Linked DNA regions of Cricetulus griseus. The protein of the gene in region 2 purifies or fractionates together with the protein of the main gene of each other region. This does not show direct contact. Links are inferred from orthologs where the notes say so. Each region holds a gene or a part of one and is shown on either strand. Other genes may lie near its edges. The genes, in order: Gemin4, Ddx20 and Snrnp70.

Region 1 (10,447 bases), on a different chromosome or scaffold from region 2:
GTGAGAACAGCACCTACGACTCCAGGTGATAAATACTCCCACCACTTGGTGGTGGCCAGCATGGACAACATGGAGACTTATGTGGTAGTTTCACTCTTCAAAGCTCTGTTGTTTTAGAAGTGAAATACTTTTACCACTCTTGGTAGATGTGAACTCCTGTGTGTAATTGTATTAAATTTGGTAACAAATTATTGTGTCCAGACTGGAATTGGCTGGGGATGGAGGGAAATTTGATTAGCTGTGAATCATGTAGATAATATTAGAACAGATGTTCAAATGAAGCCAAACCAGCTGGGCATGGTGGCACATGCCATTAGTTTCAGCACTTGGGAGGCAGAGACCAGAGGATCTCTGTAAGTTCAAGACCAGTCAGGACTAAAGAGACACACTGTCTCAAACAACACAAATCAAAAGAAGTCAAACCAACTGCTTAGAGAGCTCAGGTCCTAATGAATCATACTATAGAAGCCTTGACATTTAAAGAAACTGTTTCCTCTGGTTTTCTGGGACAGTCTTGTTTGATAGCACAGAGTGGTATGTTACTTGACTGTAGAACTCAAGGAAGCTTTTAACTTTCTTTTTTCCTGGAGACCGAGTGTCACTTTGTAGCCCTGGCAGGCCTGGAACTATGTCAACTAGATTGGCCTCAAGCTCACAGAGACCCACCTGCCTCTGCCTCCTGCTGGGATCAAAGACACAGGCCGCCTTTCCCAGTGGCTTTGCATTTTTGATCTTCCTACTTCAGCCTCTAGTCCTGGGATTATAGATGTGTGCCATTATTCCAGGCTTGATGTTTTTTTGTTTTGTTTTGCTTGAAGTTTTATCCTGGCACTGAAGAGATGGTTCAGTGGTTAAGAGCACTGGTTGCTCTACAAGAGGACCTGAGTTTGATCCCAGCATCCACATGGTTGCTCTGTCTGGAATTCTAGTCCCAGAGGATCCAACACTCTCTTAATGCCTCTGAAGGCACCAAATATACGTAGTACACAGACGTATGCAGGCAAAACACCCATAAAGATTAAGAAAAATTATCCCTTGGATAAAAAAGATCTGGATAATGCCCTCACCTTGATTTTACATTTTGAATACCCAGAGAAAACAGGAAATTTTCGTTAGTATTCAGGCATCTGTACTGGCCTGCCCTTGGGTTTCTGACAAGATACACCCTCAGCTGCAGCCAATAAGAGCACCACCTATGCACATTCATCTCTCCTTCCCTTTCCCTCTCCCTCTCACCTTTCTCTCTGCTTCTGCCTGTCTGCTGTCTGTCGCCCCCACACACACCACCATTTTCTGTTCTGCTGCTCCCATCCTCAGAAGTTGGTTCCTCCCTCCCCCCTTTTCCCATTCCCTTTCTCCTAATTAAAAACAAAACAAAAAAACTTCATGTGAGCTGTCACATGGCATTTTTTTCTCTGGTGCCACTTTGTTTTTTAATTACAAGTGTTTAGTGAACAAAATATTCAGTGAGTCACATTTCTGTGCCTGATTCTGCACTACTTTTTTATAAAGTGGTTTTAGTCTTTAAAATGGATTAATTTATTTCTTCAGCCTGAAAAAATATTTTATTGTGATTTTCTGTTTGGTTGATGCAGGCAGGTGGTTTCAGTCATTAAAAAGTTTTATTGAATGCATTTTTTATTAAAGCTCTTTGGAAAGGATGGAAAAGAGTACTATTTAAAAATTTGTAGACTTGGGCTGGAGAGATGTCTCAGTGGTTAAGAACACTAGGTGGCCTTCCAGAGATCCTGAGTTCAATTCCCAGCAACCACATGATGGCTCACAACCATCTGTAATGAGATATGGTGCCCTCTTCTGGACTACAGTGACACATGCAGACAGAACACTATATATAATAAATAAATCTTTAAAAAAAAATTGACTCTTCTTGGTGGTGCACACCTTTAATCTCAGCACTTGGTAGGCAGAGGCAGGTGGATCTCTGTGTGTTCAAGGCTAGCTAGGGCTGTTACACAGAAAAACCCTGTCTCAAAAACAAACAAAAAAACTTTAGGGCCTACAAGATAGCTCTGTAGGTGGTGGTGGCACCTACTACAAAAGTCTGGCAACCTGCTGGGTGTTGGTGGCGCACGCCTTTAATCCCAGCACTCGGGAGGCAGAGGCAGGCGGTTCTTTGTGAGTTCTAGGCCAGCCTGGTCTCCAGAGCAAGTGCCAGGATAGGTTCCAAAGCTACACAGAGAAACCCTGTCTCGAAAAACCAAAAAAAAAAAAAAAAAAAAAAAAGTCTGGCAACCTGAGTTTGTTCCTGTGAACCTGTGTAAAAGTCAAAGGAGAGAACCAACTCCATAAGTTGTGCTCTGACCTCCACATGCAAACTTAACACACTCACTCCTGCCACACCTACACATAGAACACACACAATAATAAATGAAAATATTTTAATGATAAAAAATATACTTTATATCCATCATGGTGGTTCATGCTTGTAATCGCACTCTGGAGGAAGAAGCAGATGAATCTCTGTAAATTGAGGCCAGCCTGGTTCACACAGTGAATTCCAGGCCAGCCAGGCCCTATCCCCTAAACCAGAATAACTGACTGATAACAACAAAACACCTTTAGAAACTTCTGTTATAGTGTGGTGATATTTGTTTATGATCTAACAAATAAAGCTTGCTTGAAGATCAGAGTGCAGAGCTAGCCACACTAGTTAATCATAGAGGCTAGGCAGTGGTGGTACACACCTCCCAGGACTCAGGAGACAGAAGAAAATGGATCTTGTTAGTTCAAGGCCACCCTGGGGTACACGAAATTGATCCAGTCTAAAAGAGAAACAGAGCCAGATGGTGGTGGCTCACACCTTTAATCCCATTATTTGGGAGCCACACGCCTTTAACCCCAGCACTACGGAGGTAGAGGTAGGAAGGGATATGGCTGGGTGGAGAGATGAATATAAGGCAGGGCAGTAAGTCTGGGGATGCAGTCTGAAGACAGGATTGCCCCTCTGGTCTTAGCATTGGTAGAGGTAAGAACTCCAGTGGCTGGCCGCTCTGCTGCTATGATCCTTCACCCTTCACCCTGGTAGCTGAGAATTTTTACTACATTTATATGAATATATTTGCTAGGGCTTAAACCCAAAGCCTCAACATGCCAGGCAAGTGGTTATATCTCAGATGGAAGACAAGTTTTGAAGAAAGTATTGGAAAATGCCATGCTATTGTAGAGTTCTTCAAGAACTCTAACACTTCATATGCCAGCTTTCCAGGTACCATGGTAGCACACCGATGTCGCTGAAATGATTGACAAAGGGTACCCTGGCACTTATGTGAGCCACATGTGCCTATATACATGTTGTCAGGGTCCCAAGCAGAAACCTAGGTTAAGAAGAGCAATCCTAAGAACATTTAGGTTGCTAAGCCTTAGATGAGTCTTTTGGATGCTAAGATTCTGAAACCATCTTGCTCCATTGTCCCTCGGCTGCTGTGTTGTGATGCATGAATTATGTCACCACCTTGTCACTCAGAGTTTGAGCTCCATCAAAATACTAACTTCACTGGGCCTGTGTTCTAGATGAGGGCTTTTCTATTTGACTTCAGCTCTTTAGAAGGCAGAGCCGCTTTCCCCTCTGTATTGTTGGGTTCTTGGTGAGTTGACAGCCCTTGATACAGGTCCAAGCTCTGCCTCACTTCCGACCTTGGTCATTTTCATAGCGTGATTCACCCCTACCCATCCCCTCTTCTGCCAAATATCCATCCACATAGCCAGTCAGACCACACAAAGCATGACTAATGGAGTTTTAGCCAGCAGAGGTGCTTTTACACATTTGAACTGCTTTCCAGGACCCTCACAGAGTTGCTCTTTGACACAGACTCCACTCTTGTGCCGTTCAAGTGATTTATTGATGTCTCCGCTAACCTTGCTACCCTTTTCAGTATGTTTCAGCCATCAGGAGTTCTTAAACCCATTCCCCACCAGTGGAGCCACTGCTATTTCCTTGTGTCTGCCAAAATGTCCTTAGCCAGCCTCGTTTTTCTTTAGCTCCTCCACTTTGGCAATATAGATCCTCATAGCATCCATCTTGGACATCCCTTTGTTCACATTCCACGCTTCCCATTTGGCCTTTGCTCTCACATCTGTGGCTGGAGGGACGGGGATGTTACAGTCGCCCTGGGTGGCCTGTTTGTAGAAGCTGTACACCAGCAGTTTCTCCTGATCGCTCACAGGACCCTTCAGCTGCTTGAGAGAAGCGCAGGCCATTTCAAACTCCACTTGGCTCATTGTTGCACCAGAGGCTGTGTGTGCCTCTCTGTTCTAGTGATACCTGGTACTAGAAGAGAGTTGGGAATAAGCAAAGCAGACGATTATTAGGCCTTGGAAAGAAAGGACAAAGAGATAATGTGTGGGAAGAACACGTGTGTGTGTGTGTGTGTGTGTGTGTGTGTGTGTGTGTGTGTGTATGTGTCTGTGTGTGTGTGTGTGTGTGTGTGTGTGTGTGTTTGAAAAACTACAAGTTGCTGACCAGGAATCCATTCGATTGGCCCTGTCCCACAGTGCTTTGCCCAGTGTGACTGTCCTTCAAACTTACAAAGGCGCCTATGAGAGCTGAAAAGCATTTGGGCATTTCTGTGTGTCTCTGAGGCTGGACGGGGAGCCCCATGGATCCGCTGCTGGTTAGTGGGCAGCCTGGGAAAGGCCATTCCGTTGGAGGTGAATCGTGGGGGTTCCTGGGTGAGAGTGAGAAGTCTGGACTAAGGGATTGGACCTCCTGGCCTCAAGAGAACTGTAATTCCGCAAGGAGCCTGCCTACCTACCTGAGGGTAGACGGCCGGCTGGGAAGCCTAGGGCCGAGAGGGGGCGCTGTGGGCCTGGTCGGCCTCGACGCCGCGAGCTTGTCGAGGAGGACGGAAGACGCGTGCGCACGGAGCAGCAGCCGGGGAGCGGAGTACTGATCGGAAGCCCGTACGAGCTGTGGGCGGTACCTGTGACGCGCCTGTGGCGCCGCCCTTTGTGCCGTGGCGGGGGCACCGCGTTCGCGGCCTCGGAGTGGGAGGGGCGGTCCAGCCCGGCCGCCAGCTTCGCCGCCATGGACCTAGGTGGGTTCGCGTTTCCCTACTCCGGCCTGGTGTCGGGCCGCGTCCGGCAGAGCCCCTCCAGGGTGGGCCGAGGCCCTGTGCTCCTCCAGTGGCGCTCTCCGGAGCCGACTCTGGAGGCCGGGGGTCTGAGGAGTTTTTAGGGACCCGCGGCCGCGAGGCCGGCCTCCAGCCCGCAGCCCGGCCTCGTGTTGGTCTTCCTCGATCCCTCCTCCGCCTCGTGGTCTCTTTCCCATTAGAAAACAGAGAGCGAATGTAGCCCTGGACCCCCTGAAAGTGCACAGGGCTACTGCACGTGTTTCGGAAATGCCGGGCTGGGAGGAACGGACGTCCGGACCGTTCTTCCTTATTGGGTGACTGCCGAGTCGGGGAACAAGTTTCTTAGCAGCTCTCCTGGTCCACAAAGCAGAGATGCTGATACCGCTTTCCTCCCAGGCTTGGCGTTTCTTTGAGACCACGTGCATAACTGGGCGCCTTACGGTGACTTGTGCACAGTGGTGTCCCGCAGCCCTCGCTTTCGAGCAGGGTTTGCAGCAGCAGCAGACAGAGATGGTACTTTTTGAATCCTTTGATTTGGAGTCTCTTAGGCGAGGTCTGGAAGGAGAGCGGCGTTGATAGAAATCTGTGGCCATCTGCCAAGCCTCCCCACCCTGCTAGGTGTGCTCTTTAGAGGGTAAGACAGGGAGGCTGTCCCGGGAGGTACTCCAAGATTTGCAAATAATAAGCTATGGAGAAAGATCTTTGTCCCAGCCAGCTCTTTAGGTAGTTTCATGCCCCGAAGCTGTCAAGAGTTCTGCCATGGCTTGACTCCGCTGACTCAGACACCCTGCACAAATTGTATGTGGGCCTCGAGGTTTCCATCTCTAAAACAGGAGTGGTAATCCTCAAGAAGTTAGTTGGATGATCAAATGGTCTTTTAGGTGTAAAGCTGGGTGTGGAAGCTTATGTCTAACTAGCACTTTGGAGGCAGACACAGGAGGATCTCAAGAGTTCTAGGCCAACCTGCTCTATATAGTTTCAAGCCAGTCCTGGCTACATAACAAGATCCTATGTCACGGGTAAAAAAATGTATGTCACCAAGCCCCGTGCCTACCAGAGTAAGCAGTCACTTCCTAGCACCAGCTACTGATAAAGCCTTGCAGTTTCCCCTAGCTATTAACTGAGTCTGGGACTTTGTCAAGTCACATGTACACAGTGTCTGAAAATCTCATGTTTGTCGGCAGACATCTGCTCGGCTAAGCTGATAAATGCAGTTAAATTGAATTTACTGTTGCGAGGGAATGGTGTTGAGGGCAGGGCAACCTGAGCCAGAAAGAACCCTGCCACAGCAACCTAACTCTGGGCCTTCTGCTACTGTGGAAGCCAAGGTGCATTGCCTTCAGGCCTGGGTTTAGTAGGAGTGTTGATCCTTGACTTGTTTTTGGGTGTGTGAGTAAATGGTTAGTGGCCAAGAGATTCATTAGTTCCCTGGAGTCATCACTTTTTTTCCCCCTGGGGGTAGGGGAGGTTTGAGACAGGGTGTCACAATGTACTTTGGCTGGCCTCATAGAAATCTGCCTCCCTAGAGCTGGGATTAGAAGCATGGGCCACCACAACTGGCCACTGGAGTCAGTATTTTTGCAGCTGACTCTGGCCTATGAGAATGGGGAAAATATGTTCCTTGGAGCATGGGAAACTGGACATGAGGAAGGAAGGGTTAGGCATCTCTGGGCCCTGGGAATGGGTGGGCGCTGTCAGGAACAGTGACCGTGACCAGTTAGTTGTTACACTCTTTTTAAAAAATAACTTATAAAAACAATAATTTTATTTTATGGACATTGATGTGAGGGTTTCAGGTCCTTTGGAACTAGAGTTACAGAAATTGCAAGCTGTCATATGGGTGCTCGGAATCGAACCCAGGTCCTCTGGAAGAGCAGCCAGTGCTCTTGACTGCTGAGCCATCTCTTCAACTCCCAGTTGTTAGAATCTTTAGTTTCTAGGCCAAATTATACACTTTGATAAAGACCTGTGTCCTTTTGTTTTTGCACTGGAGGAGACAAAATAGTGAGAAGACTGGGCCTGCCAACAATTGAACATTTAAATCAGGCTCTTTGTGGTCTGATTATTGTTGCGATAGTAACCTTCCATTCTCCCACCCCTGAAAGATGTTTCGAGAAGGTAACAGTACCAAAATAGTTCCAAAAGTATGACTAGTATATGTTGTATGTCATGTGGTTTTCATGGTTATACCACTGAAGATTATAGTCTGTGTATGCAGACAGACTCAGTAATGTGTAAAGTCACATTTTTGAATGACTGAGCTAGGATTTAAATCCATTATTTGATTAAACTCCCATATTGCCTTTCTTTAAATGTCTTTATCAGTTCTTAGCTCAGTGAATGAATGTTTTCTTGGTTCCTGCCACAGAGCCAGAATGTTCAGTAGTGTCCTTTTTGACTAGAAGAAACTGCTGGGTGAACTTTTTCCCTGTAAGGCCCAGAATGTTGAAACCCATTAGCAGCAGTGTGTTTAGGAAGAAGGAAGGCAGGGCTGGGAATACAGCTCAGTGGTAGAGTGCTTGCCTGGTATATGCAAGGCTTTGGGCTCAAAAACAAAAGCTCAGCTGGGTGTGGTGCATGCCTTTAATCCTAGCACTCAGGAAGCAGAGGCTGGCAGTTCTCTGTGAGTTCAAAGCTAGCTAAAATAAAACAATTACCCTCCCCCCCCAAAAAAAAAATAAAGGCTGCTCATCACCCAGTGTTGGGCTCTCCGTCTGTGTCTTCAGAAGACTGCTTGTAGGAGTTGGTTCTCTCTTGCTGTATTAGGCTAGGGATCAAACTCAGGTCATTAGGTCACTGAGCCATGTCACTGGCCTTTGTCATGTCTTCTAATGCATACTTGGTGGCACTGTCCCCCCAGTCCTGTCCCCACTGTAATCTCAGCAGTCCAGCTTTCCTCCTCACACTTTGCAGAGGGATCTTAGTCTCTTCCTTGGTTTCTATAAACTTCTCTGTGTTGGCACTGCCTATACTTAAATCAGGCCTTTTCTCCTTAACTCATTGCCATTGCTGAAAGACATCACTAAATAGTCAGCCTCAGACTCCAGGTAACCAAAACTGAACTTGTCTTCCTCCCTTTAAGCCTGTCCTTGGGAGCTGGAGAGAGCTCAGTAGTTAAGAACACATAAGATTGTTGTAGAGGACTGGAGTTTAGTTCCCAGCAGCCATACCAGGTGGCTCTTAATCACCTGTAACTCCAACTCCTGAGGGCCCAGATAATTAAAGTAAATATAAAATACTTAAAAAGAAACTTAGTAATCTATTCTGAATCCCTCTCTCCCTGTCCCTGTGGTACTATTCTTCTGATTTCCAGGCTAGAGATCTTAGAAACTGGATTTTATTCTTCAGCCAAGTCCTTAGGACCCTCTCCCTTCGGGAGCTCTTACTAACCGTGCCTTCTTCCTCTCCTGTTGATGTCAAGGTATTATTAACCTTGATAATGATAGCCAACCAGTGACTCTGTTTCTTTCTCTTAGCCTCTGCTTACCATTCTGAAAACTTCATTAACTCTTGACTTCTCTGTGCAGGACCCTTAAATATCTGTGAGGAAATGACTATACTGCATGGGGGCTTTTTGATGGCTGAGCAGCTGTTCCACCCCAAAGCCCTGGAACAGTTGACAAAGTCTGACTGGGAACATGTGGGGCGGCCTATTGTGGACGCCTTGAAGGAGATCTCCTCAGCCACAGCACATTCCCAGCCATTTGCCTGGAAGAAGAAAGCACTGATCATCATCTGGGCGAAGGTTCTTCAGCCCTCTCCTGTCAGCCCTTCTGATACTGATACTCGGTGGCAGGAAGATGTGTTCTTCTCCGTGGGCAACATGATCCCTACCATCAACCACACAGTCCTTTTTGAGCTGCTTAAGTCTCTGGAAGCTTCTGGACTCTTCATTCAGCTCCTAATGGCCCTTCCTACCACCATCTGCCGCTCAGAGTTACAGAACTTTCTGGAACACATGACCATTGACACTTCTTCCAAGGATGTATCCTTCTTCCTGGATGTCTGGTGGGAAATGATAAAGCACAAGGGTGACCAGCAGGACCCCTTGCTTTCCCAATTCAGGACAATGGCCCATAAATACTTGCCATCTTCAGATGAGTTTTCCCATCCTCCAAAGAGGTTTAAGTCTGACCCAGATGTGGGTCCTACCATGCCACTGTTGGCCATGCTGCTTAATGGGCTGAAGCAAATCCAAAAGAGAATCCTGTGCCGCGGGATGAAGTGTTGTGCATTAGCTAACTTGGCTGACATGCTGAGTGTGTTTGCACTGATGGAGGATGACCCCCAGGAGGTATCTGCCACCATGTACCTAGACAAACTAGCCACAGTGATCTCTGTATGGAATTCGGACACCCGGAACCCATACCATCAACAGGCCCTGGCTGAAAAAGTAAAGGAGGCAGAGCGGGATGTGAGCCTCACCTCACTAGCCAAACTCCCCAGTGAGACTGTTTTCATGGGGTTTGAGCTTATGCACAACCTGCTGCAGGAGTGGGGTGCAGAACTGCAGGACATGCTAAACAGCAGTCAGGGGACAAATTATGACACCTACCGGCTGTGTGACAGTCTGACTTCCTTCAGCCAGAACTTGAAGCTCTACCTGGAAACTGCCAGCATGTCCAAGGAGGAGAGGCAGGTGGTCTGTGAACTGGCTGAGTGTGTTAGGGACTTCCTAAGAAAAACCAGCAGAGTGCTTAATGACAGGGGCCTTGAGGACATCACTGCCTCCATTGCCATGGCCATCATTGAGCAGAAGATGGACCGGTATATGGAAATGTGCTACATTTTTGCTTCTGAGAAGAAGTGGGCCTTTTCAGATGAGTGGGTTGCCTGCCTTGTTAACAACAGGTCTCTCTTCAGAGAACCAGACTTGATCTTGAGTTTGCTGGAAACGGTGATGGAAGTCATCAACTCTAACAGGGCTATCCCCCAGCCTCATATCAAGCAGGTGATCTGCTTGACCTTGGAATGCTATGCAGACCTCTCCCTACCAGACAAAAATAAAGTCCTTTCTGGAGTCCTGCATTGTTGGGGGCCAAAGGGCCTCTCGGACAGGTTGTCTGTTTACTTGGAGGGTTTTCAGGAAGACCTCAACACAACGTTTAACCAGCTTGCACAGAGCACCTCTGAACAGGGTCTGGCTAAAGCAGTGACCTCTGTGGCCCGCCTGGTGATCCTGTACCCAGAAGTTGTGGTGAAGAAGATGTGCAGCATAGCTGTGACCAATCTTGGCACTCACAGGTTCCTGGCTCAGATTCTTACTGCCTTCCCTGCCCTGAAGTTCACAGAAACACAAGGGCCAAAGCCATATACCAGTTTCATGGTGTCCTGCCTCAAAGAAACTGTCTGGACAA
Region 2 (10,485 bases):
ATACAACATATAAAACTGGAAGGAGCTCATTAACCAAAAACTCCTTTAAATCTTTTCTATGAATCCAGCAATTAATAAACTGTGGATGAAGTGAGTCACTTTGCCTTCCATAGACCATCAAAGTCAACTCAATGGCTAAAAGTATAGCTCCAAAGGAGAGTACTTACCTAGCATGTGAAAAGCCAAATCTGATAGTAGGGGAAGCAGAGAAGATAACTCAGCTAGTCTTAGCATGTGTTTCTATGACAACAGGGTCTTGCTATGCTGTCCATACTGGTTTTAAACTTAACATAGTCAAATATGGTCTCAAGTCCACGATCTTCCTGCTCCAGAAGAGTACATGCAATACTATACTCTAAATACTAAAATTTTAGTATTTTAATAAGTGATTATATGAAGAAACAAATGTCTTAAGACAAATAAGATAAATTTTGTTTTATAGAATTAAGTTCTTAGCAAATATAACTAGAACAGACCAAGTTACTCTTTTTAAAAATTAAATTTAAAAATCCAGCAGACTGATTATCAAATGCCAATGAAAAATAAGCCTAAATTTCCTTTATTATGAGTGCAACCTCACACTCACAAAACAATTTAAGAAGTAATGTTTTTCTCTCTTGATATGGTAGGCTTCAAAGCAATACATTAAACAAAAAAAAAAAAAAGAGCTGGACTTGCCTGAAATGCATTCAGTAGGAAAACCTTTAGAAGAAAGGATATCAGCCAAATGCTGTGCTCTACAAAATAAATAAATAAATAAATAAATAAATAAATAAATTTACAGCTTTCAACTATTGCCTCATGACTATTCTTTTACTTTTTTAAGTTCCTGGGATTAAGTTTTATTACCTGCTGTGCAAATTAGAAAACACCAAGGCTTGATTAAATGGGACTCTACTGAAAAGTTCCTGTAAGTGCTGAGTCTTTTCCTCAAAAATCTTATGAGCCAAAGGGTAAGAATTGACAACTTGGTAGTACTGCTTCAAACCTACAATGAAATCAAAAACATCCAATGAATTCCACTATGATGTGGTTGGTCATAGCTCCACAGTGTTACAAAATAATTCTGCAAAATCTGTACGTACCTATGAGACTTGGATCACTGGGATTCAATCTTACAAACGTGGGATCTCTCATATACCTTGTCAAAGCATTAGCCAAAAATTCAGGGTAAGTAGCAGATACTGCCAACATCTGTTTACTGGCAGGCAAAGAAGAATAAATCCAACTGTAAAATACAAGAAAACATATACTGTGAAAACTACGCAGACAGCAAACACTACCAGTAAAAGCCATAGACAAACACTTAGACACAACATTTTTATAGTCAAGCTAGTTTTCTTACTTTATTTGTTCCTGGAAACTGCCTTCTTCTAAAAGCTTATCTGCTTCATCAAGAATAAAGAGACGGATACTGCCCGGATTCAGGTAGTCAAGTTCTATGAGCTGTTTAATTCTACCTATATGCCAGGAAAAAAATAAAAGCTGAAATATTCATGACATCAAATCTGTACAACCCTCAGGAATGCTTTTACTGTATTTATCCACAGGTTATACTGCTGAATTTCTTCACAGTGTACATTCACATACTACACAGCACAATCTTAGAAATCTTAAATTCTCATCTAGCCTGAATCCCTCCCCCCTCCCACTTTTCATCATCGATAGATATGGAAAACAAGCACCACTGCTATCAAAAGACTCAAATGCTAAGGGATTGAATTCTAGATTCTAAGTGATTTATGAGCAAATTACCAGAAAGAACAACAGAAATCTCAACCCATGGCTTAGACAGGCTTCCTGAAAGTCAGGTCATTATTTCAGAAGCCTATCCCAAGTGAAATCCCAAACAAGCTTTAGAATGGAGACAAGCAGATTCTATTGATAATCCAGCCATGTGTTTCACTAGTCTAATGCTCTTCACTTCTAGTGAAAGTAATTAGCCCCATGATCAAAGACTCCCATTTACCTATAGTCGCATTCAGTGTTACATTTCACAAAGAACATCAGGTACCAACAGGTATTAGTAACTCACCTGGAGATCCAACAGCAATATGACACTTTTTAAGTCTGGTTTTGTCTTGAGATAATGGAGTCCCTCCAATAAAGACATGACATTCTAATCCTTCCATTTTTATTCCAATGGCTGTGATAACAGAATGTATCTGAACAGCAATTTCTCTTGTGGGAGCCAATATCAAAATCTAAAATAAATTATAAATATTACTTTAACAAGTCAGAAGAATACATATGAGTGATACATTCATTGCATGCTACACTACTTTTCATTGTAAGAGGAGTTTTAAAACAGGAGAAAATATTCCATTTATTCGGTTAATTATTAAGAACGTACTATATGGGAGAAAACATACAAGTTGTGAAAGAATTGCTCTCTTGGCACTTTTTGGTTATAACATAAACAAAAACATATACATGTAATAAAAAGTATTATTTAAAAAAAAAAATCAAATAGGGAAAAAAGAAAGACCTGACAAGGGAAATCATTTTAAATGATCAGAAAGCCCTTCCGAAGTGACGTTTTGGCATGCACCTATGATTCCGACACTCTAGAAGCAGAGATATGAGGATTGCCTCAAACTGAAGACTAGTCTATGTTGTAAGCTTCTGTCCAGCTAGAATTAGGTAGAGTGTGCCTGCTTCCAACAAACAAACAAAGAATTTTAAAAGTCCCATAAGAAAGTAACATTTGAGACATACAGCATAGAGCTAGTTGTGGAACACACCAGAAGCAGTGCTTCAGAAAAAGAAAAAGCAAATCCAAAGGCCTTAAGGTACACATAAGGAGCAGCAAAAAGGCCCAGGTACTAAGATTTTAAGAGGACTCTATCTCAGAGTTAACTCCCAGAGTTAGGTTCCAAAGGCCATGAGAGCCACACATAGTAAAAACTGCAGAACATACATATTGTCACTATAAGAAAATATTGCTTAAAAAAAAGACAAGGAAATAATAAAAATATATTTTTTTAAAAATCTCTTAACTCTGGGTACACATCACATATTTAGAGTTCTTTGGTACTTTGTTCTTTTCCCTGAAATTTCCCAACTTAAAACAATTATGTAGTGTTACTTTGATAAACACACACACACACACACACACACACACACACACACACACTTTAATAATATAAATACTTTAACAAAAAAAAGGGAATTTTACTTAGGTTTAGGATTTGGTATGCTGCCAAGTGTCACAAGCCAAACTCTCTCAAACACATCTTAATTTACAAATAGACTAGCCACTGTCCTTAAGTTATATTCAGTATCTGCCAGAATGTGGTGGATACAGAGCTCAAAAAGATTCCTAGACAACAAATACAAGGATCCCGGGTTAAAAAAAAAAAAAAAAAAAAAAAAAAAAAAAAAAAACCAACACTGTTCAAGATTCATCATCACAACAGACACTTCTTAACCTGAAATAAAGTTACTATACTACTACACTCCAGAAGATGGTGGGAGGACCACATCCAACTCATTGCTTAATCCCCAGTGCCTAGTGTAGTATTTGCATGTATTACTAACTGAACAAATCTTTTTGAAGAATTATCTCCCAAACCCATATTTCCTACTAGTTTGAGTAGGACAATCTTCAAACTATTCCAAGGCAACCTAAAATTAAGAGGATCTCTGTGAATTCGAGCCCAGCCTAATATACAAAGCAAGTTCCAGGACAACCAAGGTTACACAGAGAAACCCTTTGGGGGTGAGGGGGGATACAACCAAAAAAACCACAACCATATTAAGTTCTGCCATAGCGTATTATATAAACCAAAACTTTTAAGTTTATTTCTAACCCCAATCTAGTAAGTAAAAGTTTTTTTAAAAAAATTTTTTTAAGATTTATTTATTTATTATGTATACAGCGTTCTGCCTGCAGGCCAGAAGAGGACAGGAGATCTCATTACAGACTGTTGTGTGCCACCATGTGGTTGCTGGGAATTGAACTCAGGACCTCTGGAAGGAGCAGTCACTGCTCTTCATCACTGAGCCATCTCTCCAGCCCAAGAAAAAGTTTCTTAATTGCATAATGATTTTAAGTAACACATATTCAAAATGTAATTATAGAAGACTCCAAATTTAAAAAAAAAACTTAATAATGATATTCTCGGCCACAACTCAACGACCTTACCATCTATGTAGTTTACTTCTGTAATTTTCCTACGGTTTCACATTCTCCGATTCATCAAACACACCATCTGTGAGGAGTCAGTAGTTTTTCATAAGTCTAGCTAGAGGCCACGTGCTACACACCCCCCGTCTGGATCCTCTGAGTTACTCACCTGAGTACTGTAGTTTTCAAGAAGAAGGGAGTCTAGAGCAATGGTGGAGAATACACAAGTTTTCCCAGTGCCAGACTTAGCTTGAACAATTAAATCTGAGAAAGAAAGAAAGAAAAAAAGAAAAGAAAAAAAGAATAGGTATCATTAGCAAGACTCGCTGAAGCAACTAGATACCAATATAGGACCAGGGAACGGCCGGATTCTCTCCTAAGACCACCTAACTGTCACCTATATTTTTAGTTGACCCTGAAGCGCGCGCGAGGCGTGCATCAACCACGGAGACATTTCTCCAGCCCCTTAGTCCCCGAATCTCTACCGCTGCTCGTCTCCAGCTTGGACCCGGCGCCTTCCGATCCAATTGCGCGCCTCGAGCACTGCCGAGCCCCGCAAAGGCGCGGAGCCGGAGCTCTCCGGGGCCAGGCCCCCGCCCGCGGCCGGCCCCGGTCCTCACCGAGCCCGCAGCGCCCCAGCGGGATGGCCTTCAGCTGCACGGGAGACGGCCTCTCAAAGCCGGCCGCCCGCAGCCCCTCCAGCACCGGCCGCGACAGCAGCAGCGACTCGAAATCCGCGGGCTCCGCCAGCACCACGTCCCCGGTACGCGTCCGCGGCCCGCCGATGTCGTGAGCGGTCCGCAGGCTCCACGGGGAGCTGGGAGTCGGCTCCGCGGCCGGGGACCGCACGGCCGCGCGCTCCGCCGCCATAGCGGACTCCGCGGTTGTCAAGGCCGCCGGGGCTTCAAATGCCGCCGCCATGGTAGCCGCGCCTCGAGATCTCGCGATATTTGGAGTCGAGGCGGGGCTCCTGGGAGCGAGAAGAGGAAAAAACTTTATTGTCAGTCTCTCGGTGAAGACACGGACGCACCCGGCCTGGAAGTGGAGGAAACGAACGGAAGTCGGAGGCTGGCGCTCTGGGGACGGACAAAAATGTAGCCTGAGGAAGAGGCGGGAGGAGCGAGGAAGATGAGGCTACCAGTGCTGCCGCCGGCGGCCTGCAGAGGGCGTCGCGTGCCCGCGGTGGGCGCCGCCCGCCTCCCGCGGCTCTGACGGACGGGCCGCGCGGCGCTGCTCCGGAACCCGGCGCTCGCGGCGCGCTTTGTGACGCAGCCAGAGCGTCAGGCTCGGCCGCCGCTGGGCTCCGCTGCCCCGGTCTAGCTTGACTGAGGCCGCGCCGAAGTCTTCGTCCTCCGCACTTTTCCCCGCTGCTCCTCAGTGCTCGCAGACAGCGCCCCGGAACACAGCAAAACGGGGTTCCCTGCCCTCGGAGAGCCCTGTCACGTCGGCGCCCCAGCCCCTTAGCACAGTGCGGGAGACTGACTGGACCGCCAACTCCCAGGCTCTGCGTGGGCGCTCTCTCGAATCTCCAGGCTAATAGAGCTCTCCGGTTCAACTCATTTTGTCTGCCCTTCCTTCCGATCTCGGGTGGGCAACTAGCACACCACTTCCCCTTCCTCTGGACCCGCTCACATGTCACCTTGTTGTAAGAGGTCTTTCTTGAAATCTTTAGTCACCCCCGTCCTGCCTGCTCCCTGGCCTTTCCCGTTATTCTCACCACTTGTTTGATTTTTGGTTTGATTAGCTTGGTTGGCTTTTTCTTTTTCTTTCTTTCTTTTTCTTTCTTTCTTTCTTTCTTTCTCTTTCTTTCTTTTCCTTTCTTTCTTTCTTTCTTTCTTTCTTTCTTTCTTTCTTTTTCGACAAAGTCTCCCTATGCAGCTCAGACTGGCCTCCTGCCTCGACTTCCCAAATACTGAGATGACAGGTGTGTGCCTTATCACCCCTGGTCACTCTTCATGAATGTTTATTGTCTCCCTCACTTCCCCCGAAGGCAGGAAACTATTCTGACTTGTTCTCTTCTGCCACTAGGAGGAAAAACAAAAATCTGACACATTGAACGCTATTTTCCTCTCACACACACCTGCAGAGTCTTTCTCCTAGCTGAGTATTACTCTCAAGTTGACAAGACCTATGACAAACCTCATTTGTCCCTACGTATAATTCTGGTCTTGTTTCCCATATCCCAATTGTGTAGAAATATCTTTGGCAAGGAAATTTCACTAGAAGTGGGAGCTGGAGATGGATTCTGTTTGCTTACTGATTTACAAAATACTCAGCAAGCACCCACTAGCCATGTGAAGGAAGAGGAACTAATAAGGTCCCTCTTAGCTGCTCACGTATTTCATCCACTCTTTGCCCTCACCCTCTTTCTGACAATTTACTGGCAGATGATGTCTCCAAATATCTCCCTCACTCCTTTTCAATATAGTATCTACTCATGGTCTTTTGGTCACTCTAACTATTGAACCCTTCCCTATTGGCCTCCCAGTCCAGATTCTTCTCTGCCCAGGCCATGCACCACAGAGGCATTGAAATGACTTCCTTTGTCTGCTTTTCTCTTTCCTATGGGTTGAAACAACTTTGGCATACTAAGCAAACACTTTACTATTTAAGCACATTCCCCGTCAGAGAGTGACTCATTCCTCACTTCTTCCTTCCTCTCTTAGTTTCTTTTCCTGTTACTGTGACAAAATACTTTGACAAAAGCAACTTAAGGGGAAGGGGTTTGGTTTTGTTTTTCTGGACCACAGTTCAAGGTACAGTCTGTTATGGTGGGAAACTCAAGGCAGTAGGAGCTTGAAGCAGCTAGTCACATTACATCCACTTTCAAGAGGCATACTAAAAGTATACTAAAGGATAAATAAAATGTGTAACTAAAGTGGCATAGTAAGCAGCCTTATAAAAGACGGAAATTCTAACAAATACTACAAAATGAATGAACCCTGGGGACCTTATGCCAAGTGAAGTAAGCCAATTAGAGAAGGACAACTACTGTATGTTTCCATTTGTGTGAATCAGATTCATAGATGTAGAAAATAAAATGGTTGTTAGCAAGGGTAGGGAGATGAGCAAAGAGTTGTTATTTAATGGGTTTAGAGTTTGAGATTTGTAAGACGAAAAAGTGTGGGAGGTCCTGTTTCACATCAATATAACTCTACTTAATACTTGAACTGTACACCTAAAAATCACTAGGATGCTAAACTTAATAAGTGTATTGACCACAATTTTTTAAATCATAGCTTTCAAAAGGTTTCTATGATTTGGAAGATGGCTCCTTGGGTAAAGGCACTTGCTTCCAAGCCTGACTACTTGAGTTCCATCCAGGGACCCACATGGTGGAAGGAGAGAAGTGACTCCTGCAAGTTATCCTCTGACCTCCACATACATGTTGTCATATGCACACACCCACACAAACACATACATACTCACTTTTTTATTCTACCATTACAGTATATACAGTATTAGGATTTTTTTGTTGTTGTTTTTGGTTTTTTTTTTTTGTTTTTTTTTTTTTTTCGAGACAGGGTTTCTCTGTGGCTTTGGCGGCTGTCCTGGAACTAGCTCTTGTAGACCAGGCTGGTCTCGAACTCACAGAGATCCACCTGCCTCTGCCTCCTGAGTGCTGGGATTAAAGGCATGTGCCACCAAGTATTCGGATTTTTAATGTGTAATGAAAATACCCAAAAGAATGCATACTATATTAATAAAGACATTTACCCTCAAGAAATGGGAGGAGAGGATTCAAGTATTCACTTTGTCTATTTTGATAATATATTTGGCATTATTAGAAGAAAAGACATTTGAATGTAGTTTTTAAAACTATAAAAATGAGGTTAACTGAACAGCTTGAACTGGTAGTTAGGTAAGTGCAGCTAGACTAGACATGGCAGCTTGTGCTCTCTAGTCCAGAGCTTGAGAAGCTGAGGCTGGAGGATCAGCACAAGTTTGAGGCCAGCCTAGGGTACATAGTAGTTCTAGACCAGCCTGGACCACAGAGTAAATATGTGTCTGGAAAGGATCATTAATCATGTCTTTAGAAGGATCACTGATTTTGTCTTCAGGTATTCTATCTGTGCCCTGTTCTTATTGCAATCAAATAAAAATTGCAAACCAGAAATAAAAAGAGGAAACAGGGTCCTATAAACATGAGCCATGGAGTTCTTCTGGTGGGATGTCCTGTAGATAAACAGAGAAGCAAAGCAAATAGAACATAGATGACAGTGCTGTTGTCTATCCTAATGATGATGGAAGATGATGGTGAATAGTGATGAATGAGATGGGTGTGGTGATAGTGGCAATGGGGATAACTAACATTTATGAAGCTCATCTTCTTGTGGGGAAATCACAACCACATGAGATGGATACTACCATCCCCATTCTGCAGTTAAAGAAGGTAAGACACTTAACCAGCTGCAATGCCTATGAACCACAATAGTATTATGGCAAGATATCCACAAAGGCACAATAGTGGCACTCAAATATTAGTGGTAACTAACAGCTGTGTAATTGAACTGAAGGCCCACTCAACAGCAGCAAAATCACACCTGGTACTAGAAACCTAGCCCAACTTCCTGTGACTAATGTGGTCATGGATCTTAGAAGAGAATCTACTACTACCATTTTGCTAGGCCAACATAGTTCCTAATTACATTTTAAATATTATTCTTAAACTCACAAGTAAGTTTAGCTACCACCCCTCATCACATTGTCTGGCATCTCTTAGCCAGACAATGGTGGCCCACACCTTTAATCCCAGCACTCAAGAGGCAGAAGCAGGTGGATCTCTGTGAGTTCAAGGCCAGCCTGGTCTACAGAGCAAGCTCCAGGACAGCCAGAACTACACCCTGTCTAAAAAGAAGAGGAGGAGTAAGGAGGAGGAGGAAGAGGAGGAGGAGGAAGCTTCTCTTTGCCAAAAATGGAGACCATAATGGAAAACACAACTGGACACAACGTAGAGATCTGTGTATCAGCCCAGCCCCAATAGAAACCTCTAAGGCACAGCTCCTGCATCAATGGCTCAGAGAACATCACAGAAGAGGAAGCAATAAGATTATAAGAGCCAGCATGCCAGGAATTCTGCTGTGAAACAATCTCCCTTAGAAATGGCTATATAAACAAGACCAGAACAATGCCAATATCATTAGACATGCTAACACAGAATTGGGGATAGCTCATGGGTCCCATCGATAGAAAAAGAACTGCTAAGAGAGGAAGAATTAGCCTCTCATAGGGATGAGCCCCTTCATTGGGTGTTCAATACAAAGTGATCAGCCCTGAAACCACATTCCCACAAGCAACAAAAATGGACTCTGGGGGTTGTATTTATATATTTGTGCATACATATGCATACTCGTGTGTGTGTGTGTGTGTGTGTGTGATAATAAAAGAGGCTATCCAGAGGGAGGGAACTTGGTAGGAGCTACAGGTAAAAGGGGGAGGGGAAAGTGATATAATTCTATTTTAGCTAAAACCATTTTGTAAAAAAGGAAGTAGAAAACTTAGACGACATCATTCCAAGTCCACATGACTCTGGTCTCTGGCTTGGGCATAATGAACATACCCAGGACCCTCTTTCCTGAAGGATCATCCTAAGATTTACTGGAGTCCTGAAATTGCCTCCTTTGCTACAGAAAGGCAGTGACTGGGAAGAACAGAAGAGAGTCTGGGGGAAAGATGACTTCCAACAGAAGGCATGGACTGCATAGGCCTGTGCCCAGTGACGGTTCATAGACAACAAGGTGCTGGGAGAAGTCCTCAGAATCCAGGTAAAATGTGCCCAGCCCTCCAGCAGTCACACGGAGTCTGTCATCAGGGAGGTAGGGAAGGATGCAGGCTCTTCTCCGAGCAAGCCTAAGGATTACTTGGACTATGATAGATTTGGGGCAAATAGAGCTCACAGTGTGAAAATCCCGTAAGTGTGCTCCATGCAAGGAGTGGAAATCAATGGAGAGAGCAAAAGGTGAGAGGATTTCCAAAAACTTCTAAGGCTGTTTGGGTCCAGCTTCACATTCTGCTCCTTTAGGTGCCCTTTAACGCCCAACCCCAGACTTCATGCTAGAAACAGTCCAGTCCCTCTCAATAAATAAACTATCAACTTCTCAAGGAATGTTGTCACCATAGGTTCTCCATCCCAGCATCAGGCTTTTGGTGGACCTAGGAAATACTGAATGGATGACACCTTCCCACTGAAAATTCTCTTCTGGGCCTTGTACACATAGCAGTGTTTCTGTAAAACTGGTGTCAACCCCTGTTAAAGAAGCCGGCTCTCTCCACAAAGGACCACTTTTCCAAAAAGTAACATTTTACAGTTTATAGGCATTCTGTTAGTACATTTGTTGTTTGTGATGTTTTACAGA
Region 3 (10,485 bases), on a different chromosome or scaffold from region 2:
CGAACAGCAGAAAGCTGGATATGTGTGTGCTTGATGATCAAGCATTGGACTAGAATCCCCAGTGGCTGGTGTTGTGATTATTTACAACGTTTTGTAATCTTAGCATTTAAAAGGCCTTAGGTTCCATCTTTAGTACCCAAAATAACTACTAAATAGGTAAGATTAAAAATTGTTTTAAGAGCCAGGTGGAGTGCCTACCAATAAAGTATCAGGAAGAACACAGGACTGAAGGTTTGAGGCCAGCCTGAGTTATATAGAGAGATCCTGAGTGATGGCTCCCAGAGGTCTGGAGTTCTGTTCCCAGGACTCAGTGGAGATGGTTCACAACCACCTTTAACTCCAGATACTGAGCACTCACACCCTCTTCTGGCCTCTTCCAATAGCCATACTTACGTGCATATATCCACCAATACACACACACACACACACACACACACACACACACACACACACACACCACACACACCTTGTATGAGTATCTGCATGTATGACTTTATACAGACATAAAGAAGAGGCCCTCAGAGTCCATTGTAGGTGACCGTGAGCCACCTGTGGTTGTGGTTGCTGAGCTGGGAATTGAACTCAAGACCTCTTAAAGAACAGCCAGCTCCATAAAAATCCAGTTCTTCAACAGCCTTCATTCAGTTCCAAAAATTATGCTATGCTTAAATGAAAAACAAAATTGACATTAGTGTAATCCAGATGTCTAACTTTTCAACACTACTGTCTGAGTCCAGGAGCTGCCTGTCTCTTCTCCCTTTCCCCCGAGCACTAGGAATACAAACAAGTTCTGCTACATCCAGCTTTTTTGTTTATTTGTTTAATTTGCAACCTGCCCTGGAATTTTTGCTGTAGACCAGGCTGGCCTTGAACTCACATAGAACCTGTCTCTGCCTCCCAAGTGCTGGGACTAAAGGTGTGCACCACCACTACCCAGTTTACATCCAGCTTTTTACGTGATTATTGTGGATCAGAACTCAGTTCCTAATATTGTTTGGTATAGATACTTGAGACACTGAACTGTTTTATCTATTGAAGCAAAGGCTGGGCTCATAAGGGCTGTCTGGGCTGACCTTGAACTGTGTAGCTCAGACTGATGGCAAACTTTTAGCCTTCCTCTCTCCATCTTGCCAGCCCTAGGATTACAGGCATGCACCCCACAGCCAGTTTACCAGGTGTCTTAACATTGAAATCTGGAACCCATTCCAACCTAGTCCCTTTCCCCAACTTCAACCTGTCACATCAAGGGCTCTGTCAATAACCAGTGGCTTCAGATACAAAGATAGGAGTTGTGCTGATTATAGAGGGAAGGTGAACTACATTTAAAAACATTTCAACTTATTTTGAAATAGTTTTTAAATTATTTTTGCTATTGTCATGTGTGTGGGTGTTTTGCTTGCATGTATGTCTGTACACAACGTATATGCGTGTTACTTGTGGATGCCAGAGGATGGCACTGGGGTCCCCTGGACTGGAGTTACAGATAGGTGTGAGCCCCACATGAATCCTGGGGTCCCCTGGGACTGGAGTTACAGACAGGTGTGAACCCCACACGAATCCTGGGAATCAAACCCAGGTCCTGTGTAAGAGTAGCCAGTGCTCTTAACTGCTGAACCAACTTTCCAGCCCCTTGTTCTGGTTTTGGAGGATTTTTGTTTTGTTTTTGAGACAGGGTAGATCAGACTGGAATTATACTCTCCATTCTCAGCGACCCTATACTAGGAATACCTGTGTGAGACACTGAGCCCAGTTTAAGGGCTTTTTAAGAATCATGTCTTGGGGACAGAACCAAATCTTCCAGCGTGCCTGGCAAGTGCTCTGCTACTGCTTCACACCCTGCCCGCTGTCTCCTTGCCCCAATGCTTTTTGTTTGGAGGTAAAGTCTTACAAACCTGTTTGATGGGACCATATTTTACATGAAAATAAAACATTCCTGGATCATTTGCCAAAATATGATTAGGAGCGACATAAAATTCTGTTTCACTTTCTATTTACTTATTTTTTAAGACAGGGTCTCACTATGTAATTAGCTGTCTAGCAACTCCCTACGGAGAGACCAGACTGGCCTTGAATTCACAGACTCGCCTGCCTCTGCCTCTCCTGTATTGGGATTAAAGGTGTGTTTGTGTTTTGAGACATCTTTTTAAAAAAATATGTATATGTGGGGGCACCTGAGTGCGGGTGCTGATGGGAGCCAGAAAAAGGTAGCAGGTGTTTGTGGGCCACCATTGTGGGTGCTGGGAAGGAGACTCTTGACTTCTGCAAGAACAGCCACACTTTCAACCTCTAAATCATCTTTCCAGTCCCAAGACTGAGTCCTGTATAGCTCAAGCCAGCTTGAGCCCCTAATCATCCTACCTCCACTTTCAAAGTTCTGGGATTATAGGCTGCCAGGGAACACAAGCCTCTTGCTGGAAGTTTGTGGTTCTATAGAAGAGTTCTTGTTTCTCAGAGGACCTGTGCACAGTATTGAAGGCTGAAGTGCCACTGCAATTTACTCTCAGATATCCAAGAAAAGAATTGTGTCAGGCTGGAGCCATGTCTCAGTGGTTAAAATTGGCTGCTACTCTCAAAGCAGACCTGAGTTTGGTTCCCAACACCCAGATCAGGTAACAAACAATGTCTGTAACTAAAGTCCAGAAGATCCAATGCCTTCTTCTGGCCTCCTTGGGCACCTGTACACTAACAGACATACGAAAATAAAAACAACCAGGCAGTAACAATGAGTTGGAGATCAGCCTTCACTAGAGCAAGACCTGAGTTGGCAGAGTGATTAGATTACCCAGCATGCAAGGAAGCCCTGAGCTCAGGATGAAGAGATGGCATCACTTTCCCAGAGGACCTGACTTCAGGTGCTAGCACCCAATATGAGAGGCCTGGAACAACATATAACACCAGCTCCCAAGGGCTACACCTTTTTCTAACCCCTGGGGGCACCTGTAACCATGTGCACACCCCCACCACAGACTGACAGAAAAGACACACAATTAAGAAAACACAACCCTGCTGGGTATGGTGGCACGCCCATTTAATCACAACTCCCAGGAGGCAGAGACAGGAAGCTCTCAGTGAGTTTGAGGCCAGTCTGGTCTACAGGGTAAGCCAGGGCAACCAGGGCTACACAGTAAAACTGTCTCAGAAAGCCAAAACACATACACACACACACACACACACACACACACACTGCAAGGTAATTTTGAGCCAAACGGTGAAACCTTGTGTAAAAAAATAAAGAAAAATAAAACAACAGAACACACAAAAAAGAAAACCCACTAAACAAACGTATTATATTTCCAAACAATGTAAGCTCCAAGAAGACTATTTTGTCACATGTTGTGTCCCTAGAGTTCAAACAGTGTCTAGAACATACAAGACACTTGGGAGAGAACTTATCCATTAAATAGAATTTAAAAGCAATGACCCGGGATGGAGAGATGGCTCAGAAGTTAAGAGCACTGGCTGCTCTTCCAAATGTCCTGAGTTCAGTTCCCAGCAACCACATGGTGGCTCAGAAGCATCTGTAATGAAATCTGGTGCACTCTCTGGCCTGCAGGGACACATGCAGACAGAACACTGTATACACAATAAATAAATCTTTAAAAAAATGAATAAATAAAATAAAAGCAATGACCCTGATGAGGTAGGTACTTTTTAACAGTCTGCGGAAGGATATTCCACCTGGCACTTTACGTTCACGCATGCGTACAGGGTCCGGGAAGTGTAAGGGGAAAGGGGTGGGGCATCAGTAAGTGTCTCGCGGGCATAGGCGGTTGGCTAGAGCGCGAGGTGGGTGCCGACCTAGTGCCTGAGCACGCATGCGCACGTCGCTTGCCAGGCCAAGGCAGCCTAAGCATTGAAGGACTCTGACGGCGGAGTCTTGGCTTTGCGCGTGCGCAGTGCTCGCTGTAGAGCCAAGACCTCAAAATGGGTGTCTTTTGACTCGTGCGGCGCATGCGCGGTGCGTGCGGCGGAGGGATTCTAGACCGGATCCCTCTCCGTTCCTGTCGCGAGCCGAGGCCGCGCGGGTTGTGAGGAGCGGCCTGGTTTGCGCGCGCGGCGCGGACCTCTGAAGGTAGCTGACGCAGACGCCGCCGAAGTGGAAGCCAGAGCGGGAGTTTTTGTTGGTGAACGGCGGCCGCGAGGCCTGAGACTAACGTCAGGCCGAGGAGAGCGCCGCGCGGTGAGTGAGTGAATGAGTGGCCTTAACGGGGTTCGGGTCCGCTCTACCCACAAGCCTTTGCGGGGTCCCCGAACTCTCTACCCGCGCCTGAGGCCCGCTTACCGGGTCCGCGCTTCAAACCACCCCATCCTTTACCCAGAGTCCCCTCAGCGTCCCCCTCCCCCTGCCTCTCGCGGTCCCCTACCCACAGGCCCTTGCGTTTTATGTGTTGCCTCTTTTCCTCGCTTTTTTTTTTTTTTTTTTGTCGCATCCTGGATCTGTACCCATAATTCCGTTCGCCTCTGGGATCCTAGATATTTTACGCAGATCCCCTGGCTTGATCTTTTTGGACTACCTTGAGACCCCTACCTCGTAATCTCCAAGGTATGAGGCCAGCAACCCTCTGAGCTTAGTGCTTCAGGTCTCTAGGTCCCTCACCTCCTGATTCCTTTTCCCTTGTTTTCTGTGTTTTTAGTCCTTTGTTTCTCAGCTCCTGCCAAGACCGACCTTTTTCGTGCAGATGTCTTCCACCGGCTCACCCGGGATAGATAGCAGCGTCCTCGTGATCTCTCCTGTCTGCTTGTTTGATTTTGAGTGAAGGGGTTCTAGAGGGAACCTCCTGTGCTAAAGTTCCCTAACCTAAGGTTTCTGGTCTCAGGTTTGGCAAGATGACACAGTTTCTGCCTCCCAACCTTCTGGCCCTCTTTGCCCCTCGAGACCCCATCCCGTACTTGCCACCCCTAGAAAAGCTGCCACATGAAAAACATCACAACCAACCTTATTGTGGCATTGCACCATACATCCGGGAATTTGAGGTGAGTAAAGGGAGACATGGGGCCTACTAGAAGGGCTTGGGTGCTGAATGAGAGCAGGCTGCATTTTGGAGTAGAGATTTTAAACATATTTTAGTTTTGTGGTTTATGATTTTACTTTTCTTAATCTTGTTTTTGCATTTGTGTGCGTTCTATTTCTTTTATATTAAGTTTTTAATTTATTAGTTTTTATCTTATATGCATTGGTGTTTGGCAAGGATGTCAGGTACCCTGGAACCAGAATCACAGACAGTTGTAAGCTGCCATATGGGTGCTAGGAATTGAACCCTGGTCCTCTGAAAGAGCAGTCAGTGCTCTTACCCACTAAGTCACCTCTCCAGCCCGTCATTAAGTGTTTTTGTTTTTCGTTTTTCTAGACAGGGTTTCTCTGTGGCTTTGGAGTCTGTCCGGGAACTAGCTCTGTAGACCAGGCTGGCCTCGAACTCACAGAGATCCACCTGCCTCTGCCTCCCGAGTGCTGGGACTAAAGGCGTGCGCCACCAACGCCCGGCATCGTTAAGTTTTAATTACACTTGTATTTGTGGTGTGTATGGATGTGTGTGTGCAAACCTATAAACCTATAAGGGGGCAACTTGAAAGAATCAGATCTCTCTTTCCATTGTGTGGGCTCAGGAGAGCAAGCTGAGTTTGTTACCTTTGGTGAAAAGGGCCTTAACTTGCAGAACCATCGTGCTTAGCCCCTTTGTTTGAGTTTTGAGACAGAGTTTTGCTATGTAGTGTAAATGGACAGATCTACAGACCTCTTAGTGGCAAGCTTCATTCTCCGACCCTCAAACAGGCTTTATTTGTACAAGCAAGACATTACCACAGTGTAGCTCAGAGTGGCCTTGATGGTATACCAGTCCTACTTAGGTTCCCAAATGCTGCAGTTAATGGGTGTCCACTTCCAGGACCAGCTAATTTCCTTTATTTATTTTGGATGTAAGATAAACGGAAAAATTAAGTAAAAAGAAAGAAATGTAATAAACAATACCTATCAAAAGAATTTTTTAAAAACTTATTTATTTTAAAAACTTATTTATCATATGCATGCTGCTTCCTTGGTGCCATAAAGCCCCTGGAACTGGAGTTACAGACAGGTGTGAGCTGCCATGTGGGTGCTGGGAATTGAACTCAGGTCCTCTGGAAGAACAGCTGGTGCTCTTAACTGCTGAGCCATCTCTTCAGCCCCATTTTGTCTTTTTTTTTTTTTTAAAGCTTGCAGAGATACATCTACTTGGCTTTGTGCTCTCAAGTACTCAAGTACTGGGATTAAAGTCTTGTGTCTCCACTCTTTGGGGTTTCTGTTTGGAACTGTGGGGAGTTGCAGAATTCCTTTGGGAGCCATGTAGCTTTTTGTTTTGTTTTGGTTTTGGTTTTGGTTTTTGAGACAGGGTTTCTCTGTGACTTTGGAGCCTGTCCTGGAACTAGCTCTTGTAGACCAGGCTGGCCTCAGAACTCAGATACCCGCCTGCCTCTGCCTCCCGAGTGTTGGGACTAAAGGTGTGTGCCACCACTGCCCAGCTACACTGCCTCAGTTTCTTGAGTGCTGGGATTAGAGGTGTGCACCCCTACCACCCTGCTTTTTTTCTTCTTCTTCTTGCCAGGTAGCTTTGGAACTGTACTTTACAGCTATGTAACTTATGTTACACTCTGATGAAGAACAAATGTCTACCAGTCATTGTAGGTGCTTTTTTGTTTTGTTTTGAGACAGGTTTTTTTTCTGTGTATCCTTAGCTGTCCTGGAACTCACTGTGTAGACCAGGCTGGCCTGGATCTCAGAGATCCACCTGCCTCTGCCTCCTGAGTGCTGAGATAAAAGGCGTGGACTACCACCATCCCTGGTGATTGATGCTTTTGCTAAATACAAGGGAATTGTTTCTGTGTTTTGTTTAAAAGTACCTTCAAAAATGATATTTTTTTCTTTCCGTTTAATTATTCTAGTAAAGTTACTTGGGCTGTCCTGGAGCTTGCTCTGTAGACGAGGCTGGCTTTGAACTCATAGATCTGCCTGCCTCTGCCTCCTGAGTCCTGGGATTAAAGAGGTGCACAACCAACACCTGGTAGAGATGTTTGTATTGTCCTTGCCACAGACCTCCAGTAGTCTGGGCAGCACTGGTCCTCATTGGACCACTTCCACCCTCTGTCTTCTGTTTATACTGGAACTAATGGCACTTGTGTATGGGGGGGAACTGAGAGTCTTTTCGTTGCTGGTATGCCATGCTATTTTCCATCACCTCTCTTGTTCCTAGGACCCTCGAGATGCCCCTCCTCCAACAAGGGCAGAAACCCGGGAAGAACGCATGGAGAGAAAGGTATGTTGTTTTTACGTGAGTCTTTTGTTTTTTCAGAACAGGGTCTTTCTGTGTAGCCCTGGCTGTCCTGGAGCTCATTGTGTAGACCATGCTGGCCTTGAACTCACAGAATTCCGCCTGCCTCTGCCTCCCATGTGCTGGCATTAAAGGTTCGCCGCTGCCGCCAGGCACTTCTTAGTCTTGCTATATTTTTACCTACTTTTTTCCAGAGATCCCTGTAGTCCAGGTACCCCTGCTTGCACTTAACTCTACATTTTCTTTCTATTGGCAGAGACGGGAAAAGATTGAACGGCGACAGCAGGAAGTGGAGACAGAGCTGAAAATGTGTAAGGTTCTCCTCCCTCCTATCAATCTTCCCCTCCAGTCTCATTTTGTTCCTCTTGTTTTTGTTTGTTTGTTTGTTTTTTGTTTTTTGTTTTTTCAAGACAGGGTTTCTCTGTGGCTTTGGAGGCTGTCCTGGAACTAGCTCTTGTAGACCAGGCTGGTCTTGAACTCACAGAGATCCGCCTGCCTTTGCCTCCTGAGTGCTGGGACTAAGGGCATGCGCCACCAACGCCTGGCTTCATTTTGCTGCTCTTACCAGGTCATACCTGAGCCACTATTCTCCTGGGTGCCTGAGAAAGCAGAGTTAGTTCACTTTCCTAGCAACCACTTGCCAAGCATAGCTCTTGGATTAGGCTCTCTGTTTTAAAAGTTCTTGTATGCCTTATTAGTTTTTAAAAAACATGTATGAGTGTATTGCCTATCTGTATGTGGGAGATCAGAAGAGGGCATAGGATTCCCTGGAACTGGAGTTGGATAGTTATGAGCTGCTATGTGGGTGCTGGGAATGAAACACCAACTCCTGGAAGAGCAATCTGTGCTCTTAATCGCTGAGCCATCTCTCCAGCTCCAGTTGGTGTAGGCTTTTAACAGGTAGGATTACCCCAGTCACTTGCCCTATCTATAAAAGGACCACATCCCATTGTGTCTCCAGGATAAGGCATGAGGTGATCTGGTCAGTTGGTCCTGTCTTTATCCCTGGCTTCCTGATCCTGGAAGTGGAGATGCTTTACCATCCAGGTGTGGAGAATTTAAGTAGTGCTTGGTAACCAGACTCAAAAGGATGAGATCTCAGTGTTCTGTATGTAAAGACTCATCATTATCTATCTCCATCTATTGTCTGCAGCCTTAGTGAATCGTTTCTTTCTAAACCATATGCTAGAACTTCTGGGTTTTCTCAAGTGTATTTAGTATACATGACTAACAGATGGGGCATGGAGCTCTGGTTCTTACACCATACCTGGCTAGATGTTCTTTCATGCGCATACTACATGTTGAAGCCACACAATCACCTTCCTCTCCTCCCAGTTCCTAAGGGATTCAACCTTCCCTGAGACATGGCTTTCCAGATGTTGATACTCTGTTTTTTATACCTGTGTTATGATTCTCTAAAGGAACAGAATTGAGAATGGGGAAAATTCAATCAATCAATCAGTCAATCAAGTTCAAAAGGCCAACTGGTCTACCTCCATTAAAAAAAAAAAATCCACAGAGACAACTGGTAAACCTCTATACATTATTTTAAAACAAGACAACTGGTCGACCTCCATTTATGTTTTATATATATCTGTGTCCATGCCGGACACGCAACACACACACACACACACACAGATTAGAGTGGCTGTCTCTCAACAGAAAGGCTAAGAGTCTGTTAGTGTTCGGTCCACAAAGTTGGATATCTCAGCTTTATTCCATGTTGGAATTCTGAATAAGTAGGTTCTAATACCAGTGAAAGAATGGCTCAACAGCAGGATGGATGAACTTGGCAGGAGAGTGAAGATAGGTAGGCAAAAACTTCATTCATTCATGGTTTTATGTTGGCTGCCAACAGAAGGTGTGGCCCTGATTTAAGTTGGATCTTCTTACCTTAAATAATTCAATCCAGAAATCCCCACAGGCATGGGTTTTAGTTGATTTCAGATGTGTTAAAGTTTACAACTAGATTAGCCACAGCATCAATATAACTTTCCCAGCTTATCACCAAGACCTGTCCTGCTACTTGCTAAATGTCACAACATTAGACATTCCTGTCCTCCAGTAGCACCGATCCCTTTTGGCTTGGGCAGTGCTGTAGCAGTGTGTCTTGTTTACTTGACCTTCCCTAGCCAAAATCCTTTATGGGGCTTTGTTAGGACAAGCGCTTATCTCCGCCTCCTGACCTCAGCATAAAAGCCCAGTCTCTTCCTTGCCTATCCAGGTATGCTTTGCACCCCGTGGAGAATGTGAAAGATTGTATAGAACAGACTGACCTCATTTCCTTAAAACAAACAAAAAAACATATAAACAACTTGATAAGGAAAAGTTGGGGCAAGTCAGTAGGTATGTTTAAAAAGTGTTAAGAACCAGCATAGCAGGCTCTTGGATGTGACTGAAGCTCTCAAACTGGGGTGGGGGAATGTAGAAATCAATCAAGTTAGGCCTGTATCTTATACAGAAGGGCAGTTAGGTTTCTGGTCAGCCTAGTGAACTTTTGTAGCTTTGAGACTTCTTGTGGGCTAGTTTCTTCTTGGGGTTCTGACCAGTGAGAGCAAAGGGGTGCAGCTGAGTACAGAGGCAAGCATGCCACACACGAACACTTAGTAATAGGCACTGCCTATTACTTGCTGTCTTCCTGGTAATGTATTCTTTCAGATAGGAGTACTTCATCAGCCCCATGGTAAGCAAGAACTCTAGGCATCTCAAATAGAGATGTTTCCCTCTTTTGTGTGCTTCCTACTGCCTTTCAGGCAAGCTCAGTTCTCATTGACTGGCATCCACCCTGTAGGCAGCACTGGACACATACATACCCATTGCACTCTACACCTAGTGTTTGGGGTGTATGTGTGCATTTTTACCTTGACACCTTTGGACATGTCTCAGCAGCCAGTTTATGGGGTGCTGTTCTCCACTGAACCCAAGCCTTTGTGCATGTACTCTCCTAACTTTATTATTCTGATCCATATACCCATGCCTCCTTTTTATTTAGGTAGCTTTTAGGTTTTTTTCTTTTGAGACAGGGTTAGCCCTGACTGTTCTGGAACTTGCTTTGTAAACCAGGCCAGCCTTGAACTCACAGAGATCCATCTGCCTGCCCAGTACTGGGACTAAAGGCATGTGTCACCAGGCCTTGTGACAGTCTTAATGTCTTGAGTCCTCTTCTGTCACCATATTAACAGCC

Evidence for each region.
Region 1: the proteins of Ddx20 (region 2) and Gemin4 purify together in Homo sapiens (co-immunoprecipitation; 7 studies listed by BioGRID and IntAct, counting the BioPlex papers as one, with this or other methods). This does not show direct contact. The link is inferred for Cricetulus griseus from reciprocal best matches to the Homo sapiens genes DDX20 and GEMIN4.
Region 3: the proteins of Ddx20 (region 2) and Snrnp70 purify together in Homo sapiens (affinity purification with mass spectrometry; 4 studies listed by BioGRID and IntAct, counting the BioPlex papers as one, with this or other methods). This does not show direct contact. The link is inferred for Cricetulus griseus from reciprocal best matches to the Homo sapiens genes DDX20 and SNRNP70.

Annotation. Positions count from the first base shown.
Region 1 is NC_048600.1:89,664,957-89,675,403, reverse strand, and holds the start of Gemin4 (gem-associated protein 4), read left to right. Parts: upstream 1-4,922; 5' UTR 4,923-5,044; coding exon 5,045-5,054; intron 5,055-8,617; coding exon 8,618-10,447. Other genes in the region: diazepam-binding inhibitor-like 5, read right to left, coding at 3,976-4,239. UniProt on the Homo sapiens protein: The SMN complex catalyzes the assembly of small nuclear ribonucleoproteins (snRNPs), the building blocks of the spliceosome, and thereby plays an important role in the splicing of cellular pre-mRNAs.
Region 2 is NW_023276806.1:51,315,413-51,325,897, reverse strand, and holds the start of Ddx20 (probable ATP-dependent RNA helicase DDX20), read right to left. Parts: upstream 5,079-10,485; 5' UTR 5,051-5,078; coding exon 4,750-5,050; intron 4,394-4,749; coding exon 4,299-4,393; intron 2,205-4,298; coding exon 2,036-2,204; intron 1,461-2,035; coding exon 1,346-1,460; intron 1,229-1,345; coding exon 1,086-1,228; intron 989-1,085; coding exon 850-988; intron 738-849; coding exon 679-737; intron 1-678.
Region 3 is NC_048599.1:154,297,082-154,307,566, reverse strand, and holds the start of Snrnp70 (U1 small nuclear ribonucleoprotein 70 kDa), read left to right. Parts: upstream 1-3,969; 5' UTR 3,970-4,180; intron 4,181-4,440; exon of another isoform or gene 4,441-4,543; intron 4,544-4,817; 5' UTR 4,818-4,827; coding exon 4,828-4,974; intron 4,975-7,223; coding exon 7,224-7,286; intron 7,287-7,557; coding exon 7,558-7,612; intron 7,613-10,485. UniProt on the Homo sapiens protein: Component of the spliceosomal U1 snRNP, which is essential for recognition of the pre-mRNA 5' splice-site and the subsequent assembly of the spliceosome. SNRNP70 binds to the loop I region of U1-snRNA.